Linked DNA regions of Drosophila melanogaster. The protein of the gene in region 1 interacts with the protein of each later gene in a pairwise test. Each region holds a gene or a part of one and is shown in the gene's direction. Other genes may lie near its edges.

Region 1 (3,757 bases):
TCTACAGAAACTTCATTACACTAACATGTTACTTTAAGTTACTTTCCCCAAAAGCTATTCGATTTTCTTGTTCTCATTTGTGTGTGTTTATACTCGTTTAGTGCCTTCTATGCTGGACGAGTGCTTGGCCTTTCTGGAACAGAAATCTGCTGGCACTCCCAATTTCACATACGAGGTCATCGTGGTCAGTGACGGCAGTCAGGATGCCACCGTATCCGTCGCCTTGGGTTACTCGAAAAAGCACGGAGCAGAAAAGGTACGCGTGCTGGAACTCATCGAAAATCGTGGGAAAGGAGGTGCCGTTCGCATGGGTATGCTAAGTGCACGGGGTCGTAATCTGCTCTTCGCTGATGCGGATGGAGCCACCAAGTTTCCCGACTACGATAAACTGGAGGTGGCCCTCAAGCAATTAGCTCCCGAATGGCGAGACGATGGCATTGCCATTGGATCGAGAGCACATCTGGAGAACGATGCGATTGCAACAAGGAGTTTCTTCAGGTAAGATAAAATCCTACATTTATTAGCTGACCAAATACTGATCTGCGTTGCCACAGAACAATTTTGATGCACGGCTTTCATTTCCTCGTCTGGCTGTTTGCCGTGCGCTCCATTCGCGATACCCAGTGTGGCTTCAAGCTGTTCACCCGAACGACGGCCAGGAAACTCTTCACCAGTCTGCATGTGGAGCGCTGGGCCTTTGATGTTGAGCTGCTGTACCTCGCTGAGAATTTGAAGCTACCAATGTCCGAGGTTGCCGTTCGATGGACGGAGATCGATGGTTCGAAACTGACACCATTTTGGTCGTGGCTGCAAATGGGCAGGGATTTGTTCATGATCTGGGTGCGATATTTGGTGGGCGCCTGGCGGATTGCCTCCATACAGAAGAAGGAAAAGTGATGTGGACTTGGAGGGCATCTCATTCCCAATATTAACTAGCATTTTGTGTCGAACTTACTCCGCTGTCGTGCATTACCAAAACTCTTTTAACTCTAAACTCTATTTTTGTAGGCCTGATAAAGTGTAACGAATTCTAGCTAGTTAAGTACTTAAGTACAGTATTTTTTCAAATAAAAAATAATTGATTTGAATAAAATTGCGCGGCAATGGTTCTAAATTGTTAGTAATCTAAAAAAAGTAACTATACCAAGTCGTCTTCCTTTAGTATATTGCGCTTTAAATATATAAAGTTTCGTCACATTGCTTGTTTAATTTTGGAACGAAGAAATAATTAAAATCACTAGTTATTTTTTTGAAATATTGAAATACGCGGGAAAATAAAATAAAAGGCAGTATGTGTGGTATTTTGTATTCTTCTGGTATTTTAAGAGTAGTTATTTTCATATCGGTGTATCTCCCCACTCGAAGTGCGGTCACACTGCAAAGAAGTTGCGGCGGCGCGTTTAGTTTCGTATTAAATCGTTACTATTTAATTACAGTTAATTAGTGTAAACAAACCAATCAAACATAGATACAGCTGCCACGTGAATAAACGGAAAAGATTCTAGTTAAAGCGTAGGATCGCGAGTGCAACTGCCATGGGCGCCGCTAAGTAAGGAATTCCAGGAATCCTACGTTGCGCCTGTTGCTCCTCTCCCGCTCTCCAAAATTGCGTGCAGGTGTGTGCGGGTGTCTGCTCGTCTGTGTGAGCGTCTCAGCTGTGCCTGCGTTATATATTGTTTATAAAGATTTTTTCGCAGTATGCAAATGCTGAACAAGCCGGTCGGTTGATATTTCGTATTTACTCTCGTCGCCGCGCAAACGAAAGTGTTTTGTTATTGTTGCGTTACCCGTTGCGTCTGCCCCCTCCAATTGGAGAATTGTGATTTGTTAGTGGTGTGCGCTGCTGGTGTTGTTGTTGTACTTGCTGTTATTGTTGTTGCTATGCGGTCGGGTCATTGCTTCAAATTGCTCAATCAACGGCACTTGTGGTAAGCTGGTGAACTGGCACAGTTATCAATTTTATTCCTCCTTTCCGTCCCCTTTTTATCGCTATCGAATTACATACATACTTCTTTTGTTCTTTGTCTTATCAGCATTTATTCAATTGCCCAGCAAGCTGCGCTTGAAACTATTGTATTCTGATAAGAAAGGCGAACTCTGTGCTCGACGCATTCTAATCAGACGCCCTTGCTTTTGCATTTTCTGAATGCATTTCATTTTAAGGCATCGTGCAACGCAAAAAAAAACAAATCAAAGTTAATATAAATAATTATGCTGTGCTGATTTTATTAATCAGCTTATGGCGACTTTAGCTTAAAGTCACAATAGAAACTAATTACACGAAATTTTTTGTTGTTGTAATAATAACAAATAGAAGTACTGCTAAAAAAATATCGTTTACATAGTTGCTTAACTTATTTTAAATTAAAAATCAATCTTTTTGGAATATAAAGTAACTCAAAAATTGATTTCAAATTAGACTGAAATTCTTGCTAAGGTCGCAGATTCTCCAGTCTTCCTCTTCCACTAGAAAAAGCGCGACAATAAACAAAAATTAAATGCAAAGAAGAATACAAACTAAGCGCGACCATTTGCGTGGCGAAATTCAAAGTCAAAAACGAGTTGCCAGGCCACGCCCGCTATATGTATATATACATATATACTATATGTATGTATATTGATGTGCTTATAGCCCAGGTCTTTGGGCCTCTCGCTCCACCAAAAAGATTTATGTACACATTGCGCCTTCTGCCTTTTTGCCATCCTTTTTTTCCTTTCTGTGCCTCGGTCCGTGTTTATTTTATTACTTATGGCCATGCGCGTTGCGCTGAAGATTCTGATTCTCTCGCCCTCTCTTTTTACGCTCCGTTCGCCCATGCCCCCGCACTCCGCTCCTGTTTTTGTAGCGGCTCTGCTTGATTAAAGCGCGTGGGGGGTGGGGGGCGTCAGGAGACGGTGAGGAGGAAGAGTTGATCAGGAGATCCAGCCAATTGTTGTTGTCGCACGAGCATTTGTCGCCTTAGCTTTGTTTCCCTTTTTTGCAGACGCGTCCGTTCATGTTCCTTGATGATCAGAAGCGGATTTGTGAATCAGATAAAGAAAATCATATCGTCAGAGTAAAGAAAACTAAAACTTTTTTTTATTAAACAAACTCTTTTTAAAATCATCCTTAGTAAGATGTTTAAATAAATCAATAACTCAACCATTCCCGAATTCAGAGCACTTCGCTCCTGGAGTCTTCCTGCGTCTTGTTAGCTTTTGTTGAAGTGTGATAATGCCAGAGATCGTGTGGTGGCTGCTCCTCCGCTTGGAGCCACCTTTTCAACGGCCCGTTTGTTTGCGTACACGCTTCTCGTTTTGCGAAATGGAAGTTGTGGGGACAAGGTGGCAAGGAAATGGGGAATATGCCGCTTTGGGGGCTAATCCTTTAATCCGCTGTGCGCGACTTCAAGGTCAGCAAGTGATCTTTACTAGTGTATACCAACCTATATGTATCTCCTGTCTGCTCGGGGGCTAATTAATTGTTCGTTTAATCGTTCGATTTGCTGACCGACTCGTCTGTCCACTGGATTTTCCCTTCCTTGGCTCCACACTTCTCCATTAATAGGCAGTATACAGTATCTGTAAATGAATAACTTTATTTTCATCCACTTTTCGCCATCCCATACTGATTGATGCCAAGCGGAACGCCCACGGCAATTAGTCAACCAGGTAACTCCCAGTGCTCCAATGTTTTGGTGGCCCCATGTTCCACGGTCAATGCCTCGAGGGGCGCTGCAAAAAAGATTCGCACGCCCACGCCCACGCCCCCCAAAAT
Region 2 (3,757 bases), on another chromosome or scaffold:
GTATGCAAGATTTATGACAGTTGCGCTTCGGCGGCATCCGTCGAGCACGTGGCGGACCACCAACAAGTGTGATAAGCGTGATAAGGCCCCGAACGCAAATCCAAATGTTTTCCACCGAGCCACCGGGGGATTGGTGTCTAAGGTCAGGGACACTGACCGCACACCGCTGATACCAGACAGTTGGAAGCAAGTGCGAAAAAAGTACGGAAACTATAGTTTATGAAAGTGACCATCGTATCTAGGATCTAAGTATATATCTCTATATTGCAGTGAATATTAATAATTAACTTCGAGCTTAAAATGACTTATTATCTAGAGGTGGTATTCCAATTGTGGGAACCATTAAAATCAAATGCAAAATGATGTCTCACGGTGGGCAGTGTTGGAGCTGATAAGCCGCCTGCTTACAAACTAGATATCAGTGGGCCCAATTAGTTTCTCCACTAATTTCTTATCGAAAATTTGGAACCCCATCAAGGAAGCCTATATTCATTCAGAAAACAATAGGGATCTCCAGTGAAATAGTATTCTTATCAGGCATCGACAGTCCGCCGTATTATGCAACTATTTGCACTTGAGACACAGTTACCTCGCCATCCTGGCAACAAAGTTTTAGTCTTATCACACAGGTGAAACCCCCAAGCGCAGGTGCACTTTCATTCAGAAAGAATTAGTGACGCGGAGGGCGATAAGCCGTGGAATAATAGTATTTCCTTATCAGCCATCGACTGCTAATTCAATTATGTAACAGTTCGCACTCGAGTGATGTTAATTAATTAAGCCGGCACTTGAAGCACAAACTGGCTGTCTGTCCGTCGGATTAGTCATCCACAAGTACGGCCATAGCATCTCGTCAACCCGACATACTTGCGGTGGAATCACCTGGGAGGTGGGGGCATCTCATTATAACGCACATTATTAACTGACGCCTCGTGTCACGCCCGAGTGGGCAAGGAGACCACGTTGGGGTAACCCGCCAGGACTGGCGCCCAAAACCGCCAATCAAATCGGCATCGCAATCGCAATCGCACTCGCACTCGCACTCGCTGACTCGGAACGGCGGCTCGTCCTGCCCGAAAGTCCGTAGGACTTAAAGCCTTAAGATGCAGTTTCCTGCGGTGGCACCCCCCATTTGCATGCCAATCGTCGGGAGCATCTTGTCCGGGTCCTTGCTTATGCATTTCGCCGGGTCCTGCTCATTTTGCCAAACAAATTCAGAAACACTTTAAACTATTTTGCTCGCTTTTGGCCGCTCTGTCTGTAATTTCATGTTAATATATGCATGCAACCGAACTCCCGGAGCTTTTCGAGGTACAGCCCCCCTTTTGGGGCGCCGACACACAATGCAAATAGCGCAACAGGGCGTGGCCCTCCCCGAAATTATTACAGCCATAATAAAATGCCGGCGTTGAGTTCATTTAAAAGGAACTATTTCGGAGAGTCCTTTGAAAGCGGCGCAGAACAACATTTAAGTTCAGGTTAAGCTGGCGAAATAGTTTCTGAAAACTTAAAGTAAACGTTCCAGGCGGGTCAAATAGATACTTCAAAGGATATTTAATATCACGAGCTTAAAACTATTTACAATATAAAGCGCAATTCTCTGTTAATCAATCACAAAATACATTTTTTATGCCACGTCCAAGTAATACCAGGTGCAATCAAATTAGAACGAAAAATATTGTACTTGCAAGGTAATCCCTTATAGTTTCCAAGATATCGTTCGTCAGAATCTATCTGTTAAATATTTTTCTAAGAATATAGTACAGCTTTTTATCTGACAAAAGTTCGGGAATTAATACTTTTGACCCCGGCGAAGTTTGCTTACTCACCTGCCTCTGAAAGGTGTTCCCATGGGACAAGTGGTACGGAAGTCACTGCCTCCTGGAGCGGAAATTAAAAAAGTGACTCCGGCTAGATTAGACGAGCCCACCTCGGGAATCAGCTGATGTTACCGTAAATCTTCGACTTATTTTGGCCAAACTTTGGACTCGGCAAGTGTAGCGATTAATTGCTTAATTGATATGATAAGCGCCCCTTCAGGGCGATATAAAAAGACAACGTAACGGCTCTGGGCACTCAGTAGAGATTTAGAATTGGACTAGCAAAATGCCGACAAAGGCGGTTTTCCCCACCTTCTTCAACAAGGAGACCCAGGTCTGGAGTGGCCCGCCACGGCCCACGGTCTACGACCACAACACCTCGGTCGGTCAGATCGTGTTCAACTCCCTGAGGTGCTGGCCCACCAATGTGATTCAGGTAAACGATTGCGTGACTGGTAGCCGGCGGAGACGGGAATCTGATGAGCTCGATTATATAAAAGTAGATCACCGACGACGACGGCACCGTGCTGACCAACGCCGACATGCTGGCCTACGCCACCCGGATTGCCCTATTCTTTAAGAGCGAGGGCTTGACCCAGGAGGACCGCGTCGGGATCATCGCCAACTCGAGCACCTTCGTGATCCCCGTGGCCACCGCCTGCTTCTTCCAGGCCACGCCCTTCCACGCCGTCAACTACTCCAGGGAGCCGGCCATCGTACAGGGTCTCTACTCGGTGACCAAACCCAAGATCATGTTCATCGACGGTCCGGACTACGACCGCATCAAGGAGATCACCAAGGAGTGGTCTCCCAAGCTGATCACGCTCACGGGTAAAGTGGAGGGCGTTACTAGCATCGAGGACCTCGTAAAGCCCCATCCCGCCGAGAAGATCTATGTGTGAGTAGTTTGAGATCTTCAATCAATTTAAATTTCAATAAATTCATTATTTTAAATATCTTTCAGACCTGCTTCCCTGGCCACTGGTGGCGACCAGATCGCCGTGGTCCTGTGCTCCTCCGGCACTGCTGGCTTGCCCAAGGCAGTTGCCCTCTCCCACCGCCACATTGCATCCACCAACTCGTGAGTTCTCAAGTTCAAAGCTCCCAGACTAGCCAGTCTAACCCATCTCTTCCCACAGGCTGTGCATCAGTACCGATGTGCTGTACACCAGTGCCACCATCGACTGGATGACCGGATTCTCGATTACCGTAATGAATCTCACATGTGGCTTCACTCGCATCATATCCAGGAGGACATTTAGCGCCGAGACGGCTCTCTACCTGGTCAGCAAGTACAAGGTCACCTGCCTGGCAATGGCGCCATGGCAGGCCTACGAGCTCTTCACCAGTCCACTGGCCACCAGCGAGCAACTGGAGTCCCTGAAGATAGCCTTCGTGATTGGAGGATGGATATCCCTGGCACTACTGCGGCGGGCCCAGGAGCTGCTGCCCAAGACCTACGTGATGTTCTCGTACGGAACCACGGAGACGGGAGTGGTGACCATCAACATCGACCACAGTCTGGAGTGCTCTGTAGGCAGACTGGCGCCCGGCATGAGGATCAAGATCCAAGGCGAGGATGGCCAGCAGCTGGGCGTGAATCAGACGGGCGAGGTGCTCATCGACATCGGCCTGAAGTGGGAGGGCTACCTCTCGAACCCGGAGGACACGGCCACCACCCTCCAGGATGGATGGATCAACCTGGGCGACCTGGGCTACTTCGACGAGGACAACAACCTGTACTTGGTGGACCGCAAGAAGGACCTGCTGAAGTACAAGTCCAAGCACTACTGGCCCAACGAGATTGAGCAGATCATCGCCGAGCTCCCGGAGGTGGAGCACGTGTGCGTGGTAGGCGTGCGGGATGCGAGATACGGTGACGCCGCCGGAGCCCTGATCATCAAGAAGGAGGGCGCCGAGATCGCCGACCAGAAGGT

Evidence for each region.
Region 2: the proteins of Btk (region 1) and CG4563 interact in a two-hybrid assay, tested with the Drosophila melanogaster proteins (one large-scale study listed by BioGRID).

Annotation. Positions count from the first base shown.
Region 1 is NT_033779.5:8,298,677-8,302,433, reverse strand, and holds the start of Btk (bruton tyrosine kinase), read left to right. Parts: upstream 1-1,687; 5' UTR 1,688-1,928; intron 1,929-3,757. Other genes in the region: wol (wollknaeuel), read left to right, coding at 102-498, 555-897. UniProt on the Drosophila melanogaster protein: Required for proper ring canal development. Also required for the development of male genitalia and for adult survival.
Region 2 is NT_033778.4:24,451,355-24,455,111, reverse strand, and holds the start of CG4563 (uncharacterized protein), read left to right. Parts: upstream 1-2,071; 5' UTR 2,072-2,106; coding exon 2,107-2,256; intron 2,257-2,323; coding exon 2,324-2,718; intron 2,719-2,784; coding exon 2,785-2,901; intron 2,902-2,959; coding exon 2,960-3,757.